3 linked regions of the Oryctolagus cuniculus genome follow. The protein of the gene in region 1 purifies or fractionates together with the protein of each later gene. This does not show direct contact. Links are inferred from orthologs where the notes say so. Each region holds a gene or a part of one and is shown in the gene's direction. Other genes may lie near its edges. The genes, in order: SELENOS, DERL2 and DERL1.

What was found.
Region 2: the proteins of SELENOS (region 1) and DERL2 purify together in Homo sapiens (affinity purification with western blotting; 3 studies listed by BioGRID and IntAct, with this or other methods). This does not show direct contact. The link is inferred for Oryctolagus cuniculus from reciprocal best matches to the Homo sapiens genes SELENOS and DERL2.
Region 3: the proteins of SELENOS (region 1) and DERL1 purify together in Homo sapiens (affinity purification with western blotting; 6 studies listed by BioGRID and IntAct, with this or other methods). This does not show direct contact. The link is inferred for Oryctolagus cuniculus from reciprocal best matches to the Homo sapiens genes SELENOS and DERL1.

Annotation. Positions count from the first base shown.
Region 1 is NC_091443.1:10,471,365-10,475,440, reverse strand, and holds the start of SELENOS (selenoprotein S), read left to right. Parts: upstream 1-1,179; 5' UTR 1,180-1,236; coding exon 1,237-1,354; intron 1,355-1,643; coding exon 1,644-1,778; intron 1,779-2,692; coding exon 2,693-2,799; intron 2,800-4,076. UniProt on the Homo sapiens protein: Involved in the degradation process of misfolded endoplasmic reticulum (ER) luminal proteins. Participates in the transfer of misfolded proteins from the ER to the cytosol, where they are destroyed by the proteasome in a ubiquitin-dependent manner.
Region 2 is NC_091448.1:50,846,101-50,850,441, forward strand, and holds the start of DERL2 (derlin-2), read left to right. Parts: upstream 1-1,450; 5' UTR 1,451-1,599; coding exon 1,600-1,692; intron 1,693-3,254; coding exon 3,255-3,320; intron 3,321-4,341.
Region 3 is NC_091437.1:148,811,644-148,815,241, reverse strand, and holds part of DERL1 (derlin-1), read left to right. Parts: intron 1-2,937; coding exon 2,938-3,049; intron 3,050-3,598. UniProt on the Homo sapiens protein: Functional component of endoplasmic reticulum-associated degradation (ERAD) for misfolded lumenal proteins. Forms homotetramers which encircle a large channel traversing the endoplasmic reticulum (ER) membrane.

The DNA of each region.
Region 1 (4,076 bases):
CCAAGTAAACCCCTTCCCAGTCTCCCCAGACTCGGCCAGCCTCCCAGGCCTGCTCCCACATCCAGAGCCCTCCGTCTCCCGGTGTCAGGCCATTTTCAAGGTGGCTGTCAGGTGAAGGGGCCCTGGACTTGATGTGGCCCGTGACCTCCAGTGCCACAGTGGGAATCTGCTTCCCAGCCCCCGGGGCATGCTGGGACGGGCAACGACTCTGCACACCAGCAAGGAAGAGCAGTGGGTCTGTGCCTCATCTCACTGTACTGCAGTCACCCTGGTGACGACAGGTGGCAAACTCTGATGTTACCACCTGTTCCCTAGTTTCTCAATTCGTTATGCTCCTGAACCTCGACTCTTTTGAAATACAAGTCGGTATGTGTGCTTCAACTGCTTCTCAAAGAAACCCTCGGGGTGCAGGTGTGGCCTAGTGGTCAAGACACCTGCATCTCACGTGGCAGTGCGCAGGTTCCAGCCCTGGGTCCCCGAGCCCAGCTTCCTGCCCTCGGGAACCCTGGGAAGCAGCCCGTGGAAGCTGAAGTGGCTGGATCCCCGCCGTTCACGTAGGAGACCTGGATGGAGTTCCGCGGCCAAGCCCTGGACACTGCGGGCATGTGGGCAGCGACCCAGGGATGGGGGTGCTCAAGTCTCTGAAATAAAAATAAATACGGCTTGAGGTCAAATTTCCAAATCGGTGGATACGGTGGGCATGAGCGGTGTCACGTGAGCCGTGGATGACGCCCCAGGACACCTGCTAAGAGCCAGACCGTGCAGAAGACTCTGGCCCACGTGGTACTGATCCAGAGAACCCCGAGGGTCGGCGGGGTTTTTTTTTGCCCGGCAGCAGGCGGCTGCCCTCGGTGGCTGGGGGTCGCCAGCCCCTGAGTCCCGCTGCCCAGTGCGCCCGGGCCAAGGACACGGACGCAAATCCCACCTCCGCGCGCATCCTCACTTCCTGGGCCTCAGGGTCCAAGCAGGAAGAAAGCACGCATGCAGCAAAAAAATCAGGGAAAAGGGGTCAGTCGCCACTCGCACCCACCGCGGGCCCGGCCCCGCCCGGGACGTGTTGGGCGGGTTTCCGCCGCTCCGGGGCTGACCACGCCCCCGACCACGCCCCCTCTGCCACAAGCTGAGCCGCGATTGGACGAGATCGCGGTCGCGTCCCGGCGCGCCACGTGTACGCAGCGACGAGCCGGAAGCGGCCCGCTGGAGGCGACGCGTCCCGGCCGGGCGGCGGCGGCTGTCATGGAGGGAGAAGGCGAGCTGCTGTCCGCGCGGCCGGCGCTGGAGACCGAGGGGCTGCGCTTCCTGCACGTCACGGGTGAGTCGCCGCGGGCCGCGGCCCAGCGCGCCGCCATGTTCGGTGGGTGGCCCGGTGCTGCCGCGGCCCTGGCCCCGGGAGGCCTAACCGGCGGCCGGGCGCTGACGCCGGCGGGGACCCGGCGCGGCGGGCGAGCCCCTCGGGTGTCTGTCCCCGGGCCCCGCTCGGGTCCGTCCTGGGCCTCCGACGCCCGGCGCTGTCACCTGCCAGGGGGCTGAGAGGCCTCGCTCCTCGGGGGTCCCGGCGCTGTAGCCTGCGGGCTGGCCCGCCGAGGTCCGCGGACGGGCGGGGGCGCGGCTCTCGATTCTGAAGGCTGTCTTCTTCCTTGCAGTGGGCTCGGTGCTGGCGAGCTACGGCTGGTACATCCTGTTCAGCGGCATCGTCCTCTACGCCGTCCTGCAGAAGCTGTCCACCCGCCTGCGGGGCCTGCGGCAGAGGCAGCTGGCCGGCGCCGAGGCCGCGCTGGGTCAGTGCGCGATCCCGTGTTAGCCTGCACCAGTTAGTCCTTGTTAGGGGCGTGGGAGCCTGGACTTGATTTCGGGGGCATGGGAGGTGTATTTTTTTTTTTCTTTTTTTTTTTTTTTTAATTTCTGGGATTTTAAATCGGCCGGATGGTACGCACAGCACTCAGGGCGGCGCCTGTTAGTGGTGGTTCGTTTACGGCACGGGTTAAAATGAACCCTTGATGGGTTTGCCTCCTAACTCGAGTTATGCCAAGGAGCATGGAGCGCCACATTTTGATTGTCACGACATCGCCCATCAGACCCGATTTCTAGTTCCCCTGAGTGGTGACGCTTGCACTGGTTAGGCACTGCGTCCCAGACCTGCCGGCCAGGCCCGGAGGTCGTGGTCGCGTCGGCCAGCGGTGCGGTTGTGCAGAGCCAGCTGTCGTTGGTCCGGAGGGGAAGGTGCAGGCTACATACAGACCAGAGAGGAGAGGGCTTCGTCGGGGGTGGTCACTTCTAGTCAAGGAACCCCAGAGTGCCCTCACCTCTGTCTGTCGCAGGCCTGACCTGCTGAGACGATGGAAGAGGATTCTGAAAACTCTGTCCTTGATTGACAGCTGGATTCGGGCCACCCTGCTAGGGAGGACTCCCCATTGTGTAACGGAGTCTCACTGCGGCCAGCAGACCGCCTGCGTGTTGCTCGCGGGGCCACTGCCCCACAGCCCTGTAGTTGGCATTGCCGGGAGGGGCTCAGAGACCTGCGCTTGCAGATGCAGTGTAGGGCGATGGTCCAGTCCCCTGCCCCTCAGCTGCAGAATACACGCAGAGGACGGAGCTGCTTGTGGGAAAACCTTTTCTGCTTCTACTATGTGCATGCGGGTTTCCATCTTAATTGTACCTGGTGCTGAACCTCAAGTCTTTTCTGCCGTTTTAGAACCCGATGTTGTCGTTAGACGGCAGGAGGCTTTAGCAGCCGCTCGCCTGAAAATGCAAGAGGAACTCAATGCGCAAGTTGAAAAGCATAAGGAAAAGCTAAGACAGGTATGAGCTGGTTTTGCTCTGTCGTCTGAAACTGAGGCTTCATGACAGCTCTGTGTGTGTGTGTGTGTGTGTGAGTGTGTGAGTGTGTGAGTGTATCTGTGTTGTTGTTTGTAAGCTTCAGGACAGGGGCCTATTCCATCAGGTGCAGTGGGTATTTTGGGCCCACTTGCAAATCCAGGTGCCGTCAAGGCAGACGTGCTGTGGCGTGGAGGGACGGCTGTGTGGCTGCCACAGTGCAGGAGCAGGTTGTCCCCTCGCCCGTGCCTGTTGGGAGCAGTCCCTGTGGCAGTCCCTCCCACCGAGCTGGGTGCGGCTCAGCGTGCATTGGTTGTGCAGTGTGCACTCTTAAAGACAGGAGGCTTTTGTTCCAGTGTTTCCTGCTTGGTGCATTCCGCAGAGCTGGTCACCCCACAGCATCCTGGCCGGGTCTCGGGCTGCAGAACACACAGACACGCTGTGCCTCTCGCCCCGTAGCCCCTGTGAGCTGGTGTCACAGGGCCCTGAGGTGGGGTGCCCTGGAGGACAGCAGACGGCTCAAGCAAGGGTCGTGCTAACAGGTGCAGGTGGGAGCAGAGGATACAGTTTTGGAAGATTTTTTAGGATGCAGGATTTGATTGGAAGAGGAGGTCAGCAGAGAAGCCGAGGAAGAACCAGGGGACGCTGCAGGCAGCTGGAGGGATGGAGGGGAGGAGAGATGGAGGGGTGGAGAGGATGGAGGGGTGGAGGGTGAAGGGATGGAGAGATGGAGGGGTGGAGGGTGGAGGGGATGGAAGGGTGGAGGGATGGAAGGATGGAGGGATGGGGAGTGGAAGGGTGGAGGATGGAGGGGTGGAGAGGATGGAGGGGTGGGAGATGGAGGGGTGGAGGGATGGAGGGGAGGAGGGATGGAAGGATGGAGGGATGGGGAGTGGAGGGGTGGAGAGGATGGAGGGAAGGAGGGTGGGGGTGAAGGGATGGAGGGATGGAAGGATGGAGGGATGGGGAGTGGAGGGGTGAAGGGGTGGAGGGAAGGAGAGGTGGGGGGTGGAGAGGATGGAGGGAAGGAGAGGATGGAGGGATAGAGGGTGGGGGGTGGAGGGATGGAGGGGAGGAGGGATGGAAGGATAGAGGGATGGGGAGTGGAGGGGTGGAGAGGATGGAGGGGAGGAGGGATGGAAGGATGGAGGGATGGGGAGTGGAGGGGTGGAGAGGATGGAGGCATGGAAGGGTGGAGGGGAGGAGGGATGGGGAATGGAGGGATGGGGGAAGGAGAGGATTGTGGGGTGGAGGGAAGGAGG
Region 2 (4,341 bases), on another chromosome or scaffold:
GCCTGGCAGGGCCTTTGCTCAGGCAACTGCTGGGCCACAGTTTACTGAAACACAGTTTCACTAAATATTCCTAAATGAGCGCCAGCACATCCAGACTGGCTTTACACTCACTCGCAGCACGTAAGTAAGTTTCTCTCATATCTTTGTCAGCCCTTGACAAACTCAACATTCTACCTGTTGCCAATTTGGTATGTGTGAAATTGCTGTATATTTTCAAAAACCAAAACACCTAGCCCCACACACTGGTCGGACACTACAAACTACCTACATCTCTCTCCCCAGGCCCCCGATGTCTACACTACTCTGAGTTTACTATTCTGAGAGTAGGACAGTCTCCTTATTCAAACGGCTGGATCATTTTGAACTCCCCCAAAGACGGACCAAAGCTTCGACAGGAAGCACGGACAATCTGCACCCTAAGATTCTCTGAAATCCTTGCCTGGCCATTTCCAACAATCCTAGACTGTTTTATCAAGCCCCTACACTGAAAGACCCACCCTTGAAGCAAACCTTCCATTTAAAAAAAAAAAAAAAAAAATCCGATCTTGCTTTTCTTCTCTACCAGGCACGGCCGAAGCTCTGTCGAGGTTCCATCACTGTTTTATCAACAAGCCGTGAGGGTGATGCTCGGGGGGGGGGGGGGGGAGGGTTTCACCTGCACCCTGGGAGATGCAGGTGATGGCTCAAGTACTTGGGTTCCTGCTACCTACATGGAAGACCCAGATGGAGCACTGGGCTCCTGGCATTGGCCTGGCCCAGTTTGGGCTGTTTCAGACATCTGGGGAGTAAACTAGCAGATGGGAGATAACTGTCTGTCTCATCTTTCTGCTCTTCAGTAAATAATATTTCACATCCTTTATAGAAACCACCCCAGCCTTCTATTTGATTCCTTTCTAAAGAGCCCGCAACCACGCCGGACAAGACCCAGAAGCCACAGGGCAGGAACCACTTCCGGCCGGAGCCCGCATCCCGTCGGGCCCCGCGGCCCCGCGGCATGCCGGGACCTTCAGGTAGGAGCTAGCGGCCAGGCCGGCGGCGAGGCGGACCCGGCAGGCCGCCCCGTCGCCCCCGCTAGGATGCCTAGTCCAGTCCCGCCCCTTTTCCGCGCTTCCTCAGAGAAAATGCAGCCCCGTGGCACCTACCGTTGCGGCCTGCAGGGCGATGAGGTCCACCAGACACCGACTTCCCGCCACCTCCTTTAAACTACCGCTAGCTGCCGGAGATGGGCGGTGGCGAGAGCTGACCCAAATGCGGACCGGTGCGCGCCTCCGCGAACGAAAGCAAAGGCGGGATGCTGTCCCTCTCCTGATTGGCTGGCTGTCCGGTCGGGCAGGGGCATCCTGATTGGTGACGGAGAGGGGTCAGGTGGGAAAGCTAGCTGTGGCCAGCGGGGATTGGCAGAAGGTACCGACACTCAGTCGCTTCTCGCTGACGTCAGTGGGCGGAGAAGTAAGGCTGGGACGCCACGATTGGTAGCTGGCTGATTGCGCGGCGCTCATTGGACAGGAGCGAATAGGCTACCGCGGGCGCTAGGAGCCCGCCCCGGCGCCCGGGCCTATTGGCGGAAGGGGAAGTGGGGGGCAGGCGGCGGTGGGGAAGATGGCGTACCAGAGCCTCCGGCTGGAGTACCTGCAGATCCCACCGGTCAGCCGCGCCTACACTACCGCTTGTGTCCTCACCACCGCCGCCGTGGTGAGCAGCTGCAGAGCCACCTTCTAATTATCCGGGCTGAACATGACTGGGTCTCGCGGAAACTGGAGTTTGGGCTTCGGCAGGCCCGGAAGGGGCTGGTCCCAGGGGTGGGTGGAGGTCTACCAGGGCTCACTCTGGGTTGCGGAGCGACCCCAGGAAGATGTGCGGATCCCTGAGGGGTCGTGTCGGTTTCCGAGAGCGAAAAGTCGGACCAATAGCGGGTCAGAGCTGCGGGCGCCGCCCACCCAGGAGCTCCGGCGCTGGCCAGGTGGTAGCGCGGTGGTGACTGGTGGGACGCAGATCCGCGTAGCGAAGAAACTTAAGTATTGAGGCTAGAAAGTTGAGCATTGTAGGGAGGGAAATGTCTTAAAATAAAGAAGGGATTGGCCGGAGGAACAGTGGCAAGGTCTCCAGGGTTGGTTATTTGCAGGCACTGCCTTGTGTCACCCAGCTGTTGGAGTTGGCGCCCGTGTGATGAGCAGATTCTTAGCAACTGCGCCCAACTGTCCTGTGTCTAAAATATCACCGCCTGCCTGCCTCCCTTGTCGGCCTCAACTGTTGCAATCTAAAACTATTTTTTAAGACCTTCATTTGTAAATTCCTTTTCTGCCCCCTTTAAGCATTTTTATTTATTTATTTTTAATTCCAGAGACAGATATTCCATCTGCTGGTCCCCTCCTTAAATGCTGGCAACAGCCAGGGCTGGGCCAGACCAAAGCCAGGAGCCTGGATCTCAATCTGGGTCTACCACCTTGGCTGGCAGGGACCCAAGTACTTGGACCATCAGCTGCTGCCTCGCAGGGTGTACATTAACTGACAGCTGGACTCCAAAGCAGAAGCAGAACTTAAACTCAGACACTCTGATAATGGGATGTGGGTGTCTCATGTCATCTGCGGTGCCAGATGCCCACCTTGCAGTCTTTCCTTTCTAAAAAAAAAAAATTTTTTTTAAAGACTTATTTGAAAGGCAAAGTTACAGAGAGAAGGAGAAACAGAAATCTTTCACTTGCCAGTTCGCTCCTCTAATGGCTGCAACAGCCGGAGCTGGGTGGGTCCAAAGCCAGGGGCCAGGAGCTTTTTCCGGGTCTCCCACTTGAGTGCAGGGGCCCAAGGACTTGGGCCATCTTCCGCTGCTTTCCCAGGCCATAGCAGAGAGCTGCATTGTAATGGAGCAGCCAGGACTCAAACCGGGGCTGCTTTCCCAGGCCATAGCAGAGAGCTGCATTGTAATGGAGCAGCCGGGACTCAAACCGGGGCCCACATGGGATGCCAGCGTCTCAGGTGGAGGCTTCACCTATTACAGCACAGTGTTGGCCACCGTAAGAATTCTTACTTACACCTGGTCGACCCCAATCTTTCTAGTTTTGTATTATGTGTCAAAGAGCAAGAATTGTATCAATGTAGGGAATTCTTTACCAACCCTTTCTTCTGGCCCAAGAAGAAACACTTAAAGGAATTCAACCTGAGTGACTAAGAATTGGAATTTGTTACATCCTTTGTTATAAAGGATGGAATTGTGTTTCTTGATTGACGTGCTGAAAGCAGCTCTTTTTTCATTTCAGCAGTTGGAACTGATCACACCTTTTCAGTTGTACTTCAATCCTGAGTTGATTTTTAAGCATTTTCAAGTAAGTAGCCCAATGCAACTGTGAGGAATGGTCCCGTTTCTTCTCTTGCTTAATGTTTCGTAGCAAACCCTATCATATGCTGTCTCGAAAAATAACCCAGTGAAGATCTTTGACTTTAAGTCTGGTGAAGCAGCGATTCTGCAGCTTCACAGAGTCCCCTCAGGGTCACTTAGGGAACTTTTAAGAGATCCTCACACTCCTCATCGCGTAACCAAATCACAGTCAGCAAGGGTAGGAACTAAAAACCTGTATGCTTGTGATGGGTCTAGCTTCTGTATTTGTGTATCGCTGGTTTACAGTTAAGTGTTAGTAGTTTGGGAGGAGTCTGATGAGTCTCATGGAGTGACCTTATTTTGTTCATTCCCTACCTTGGCACAGCCACCACTTTGGTGTTTTCGCCATGGGCCAGTTCAAAAATTGAGTTGTTAGTGCTTTAAAAAATTGATCCATTTTCCAGGGGTCAGATCATGCTAACAAAACTCCAAAGAGCCAACATCTAAAACACCATGCTAGTTTATTAGATGACGGGGGAGTGGATTAAAATGCTGAGCTAGACATGTGTTTTCCTGCGCTAGGATGATGATTGAGGCTGAAGTTGGAGTGGAGGAGAGGCCCAAGCGGCAGTAGTTCTGCCTGTCTACACCCTCTCCCCTTTCTCCCAAGTGTGTTTCATTCCCTGTGCCCGTGCCTCTGTCTTGCCTTTCAAGGCGCATCTTTTGTGGGCCTGCTTGGATCCATTCTTTGCACTAGAGCATGTCTCACCCTTACTTGCAGTTATTCGTATGCTTGTCTCATTAGGATGAGGACCTTAAAGTCCTAGATGGAATTAATTTGTAGGACTGAGTGATTTCAACTGTAGTACTCACTAATTCTCAAGAACTTCATGATTCGGGACGCCGTCCTGTGATCTCACGTTGTTTCCTTCCTTCAGTGCTCTCATGGCTGTTGCTGGACCTGTAGCTCTAGCCAAGCGTTGCCTCCTGCTGCCTGCTTGGCTTGGCTTTGCCTGGGGTTGAGCTCT
Region 3 (3,598 bases), on another chromosome or scaffold:
TGAAAACCCTAAAAGCTATGGGAGGGACCGGCACTGTGGCTTAGAGATTAAAGCCTCTGCCTGCAGTGCTGGCATCCCGTGTGGGTGCCGGTTTGAGTCCTGGTTGCTCCACTTCTGATCCAGCTCTCTGCTATCGCCTGGGAGGGCAGAAGAGGCTGGCCCAAGTGCTTGGGCCCCTGCACACGAGTGGGAGACCGGAAGAGGCTCTTGGCTCCTGGCTTCGGATCAGCTGAGCTCTGGCCGTTGCAGCCATTTTGGAAGTGAACCAGTGGATGGGAGACCTCTTTCTCTGCCTGTGCCTCTCTGTAACTCTGCCTTTCAAATAAATAAATAAACCTTAAAAAAAAAAAAAAGCTATGAGAAGCTTCTAGGGTGGGAATTACATCAATATCGTGTCCATATAACCAATATATTGTTTAGATTCATTCAGAAAAATAAAATATTGAGACTAACCAAGAAGATTGACAATATAGTAAGAGAAAATAAGACAAAATAATAAGAGAAAGGGGAGGGAGGGGCCGGTGCCTTGGCTCACTTGGTTAATCCTCCGCCTGCAGCGCCGGCATCCCATATGGGCACCGGGTTCTAGTTCTGGCTGCTCCTCTTCCAATCCAGCTCTCCACTGTGGCCCGGGGAGGGCAGTGGAGGATGGCCCAAGTGCTTGGGCCCCTGCACCCGCATGGGAGACCAGGAGAAGCACCTGGCTCCTGGCTTTGGATTGGCGCAGCACCGGCCGTAGCTGCCATTTGGGGAGTGAACCAACTGACGAAAGTCCTTTCTCTCTCTCTCTCTCTCACTGTCTATAACTCTGCCTGTCAAATAAATAAATAAAAAAGGGGAGGAAGATTTAACTATTCAACTTTATCAGATATTAAAATTTATTATAGAACTAGATTAAAACAACTTGGTATTGGTCTAGACCTCAGTTTCAAGCAGGATAGTCTAAAATAGACATTAAGATAAAATAGAATAAATATTCAGTGAAAGTAGTTTTTTTAAGTAATTGGAGGAAATATGGGACACTCTGTCAATGGGAATGGGAAACTGAGTGACCATCTAGAAAAAGAAGGTGAATTTCCTCCTTACTCCTTGGATGAACTATGAAAAGTGCTATAATAAAGCTGTGAGCACTTTGATATTCTTGGAGTGAAAATATTTCATAAGCTTGATAAATGGTGGATACACTTACTTACATTTAATTTTGTTTTAATTAATTTATTTGAGAGGCAGCGATGACAGAGAGAAATGGACATCCAGAGAGCTCCTGTTCCATCCACTCTGCAAGTGTTCACAACATGCCCTGGCTGGGGCCAAAGCTGGGTGCTTGGAACTCAGTCAGGTCTCCCACGTAGGTGGCAGGAACCCAGTTACTTCACTATCACTCCTGCCTCTGAGGTATGCATTAACAAGAGCTGGAATCAGGAGTAGAACTGGGACTCGAAACCAGGCATTCTGATGTGGGATACAGGCATCTCATCTATTGGGCCAAATGTCTGTCCTCGTTGCTACCTTAGAGAGAGGTCTTCTATTCACTGGTTCACTCCCCAGGTGGCCGCAATGGCCAGAGCTATGCCAATCTGAAGGCAGGAGCCAGGAGTTTCTTCCAGGTCCCCCATGCAGGTGCCATCTTCCACTGCTTTCCTAGGCCACAGCAGAGAGCTGGATCAGAAGTGGAGAAGCGGGACTCGAACTGGTGCCCATATGGAATGCTGGCACTGCAGGCAGTGGGTTTACCTGCTATGCCACAGCGCCAGCCCCCTGTTACTTTTTGAAAATAATATTGGTACAAAAACCTCATCAGTTGTTGTTAACAAGGCTTATTTCTTACTGCAGATCCTTCTGTATTGTTTGTTCAGGTAATGGTTTTTATGTCATGTGTGCTCATTTTGTCTATTTAGCCAATTTTTTTTTAGTAAAAATCCCTGTTTAAATTCTTTTTGAGTATGACATTTTTGAATAAGGTTTATCATTCCTAAATAGAGATATTATGAAATTATTGTACTGTTGGGAAAGAAGTCTTTGCAATTCATTTTGTCATAGGCTTAGTTGTATGATCTCAGTAACTAAAGATGTAATTCTTTTTTAAAATGTTTGTTTATTTATCATCATCTACTTTAAAGAGGGACAGAAAGAGGGATCTTCCATCTGCTGGTTCACTCCCCAGATGCCTGCCACAGTCAGGGCTGAGCCACGCCAGAACTCCATCCACGTCTTCACATGGGTGGCAGGCACCCAAGCACATGACCCGTCTTTGGCTGCGTTCCAGGATGCATTTGCAGGAAGCTGGATTGGAATAGAGGAGCTGGGATTCAAATTGGCATTCTGATAAAGGACACAGGCAGCCTAAATGTTCCCCAACACCTGTCCCAACCATGTACTTCTATAACATTGATTTTTTTTTAAAGATATATTTATTTATTTGAAAGAGTTAGAGAGTGGGAGAAGCAGTGGGGGAGGGGGAGGGGTCGTTTGTCCACTGGTTCACTCCCCCAATGGCTGCAATGGCTGGAGCTGGGATTATTTGAAGCCAGAAGCCAGGAGCTTCTTCCAGGTCTCCCACGTGGGTGCAGGGGCCCAAGTACTTGGGCCATCTTCTGCTGCTTTTCCAGGCCATAACAGAGAGATGGATTGGAAAAGGAGCAGCCAGGACTAGAACCAGTGCCCATATGGGATACCAGCACCGCAGGCTGTGGCTTTAACCTGCTGTGCCAAAGGGCCAGACATTGATTTTTAAGAGCTTGTTTAGAAATACTTATTGCTTATCCATTGGTTTGCAAATTGATGTGATTGTAATTTATATGAACTTTTCTTCAGTTGTTTTGAATTGTGTTGGTAGTATCATTTTGAGAAAGCTTTGCAAAGGTTAATTTAGTTAAAAGAAAAAAAATTAATCAGGCTTAGAAAAACTAACAAATGTCTTTATTTTGATTTTGACAGATTTGGAGGCCAATCACTGCCACCTTTTATTTCCCTGTGGGTCCAGGAACTGGATTTCTTTATTTGGTCAATTTATATTTCTTGTATCAGTATTCTACTCGCCTGGAAACAGGTAAGTCATCTGTAGATGTAAATATTTTTTTCTTCTGATTTGCTAATTCATATGTTTCTTTTCTTGGAGGAATTTTGAGGGCAGGTAGCATTTGGTAAGAAATGGCGTAATGATTGTGTTTGCTCAGTGAATGCCAGGACTGTGCTAAGCACTGAAGTTGTTTGTCCTTTACTCTGTAAAATGTCAGGAAGTATAAGTAGCACTTTTTTTTTTTTAGCTGAAAAAAGAACATATTAGAGGTTTACGTTTCCTGCCTGTCTCTTAGTGGCTCAGCTGTGTGCTTCTCACTTGATTAGATGATCTCATTCATTTCTGTTGTAGAGCAGTCCTTGTCATTTAGTGCAAAATTGGGTTGGAGTGTATATGTTGTCTGGAGTGGGCTTGAGAAGTACTACTTTGTGCAATTAGAAGCCTAGAATTGCTCTCTCTAATTGAAACACTCAACTTTGAAATGTATAGCCAAGATTTAGTAATGTGGTAGCGTCCGATATGAATCCCTGTGTGATGCTTTGGGTACGCTGTAAGAATCCTTTCTTAAATTATCTTATA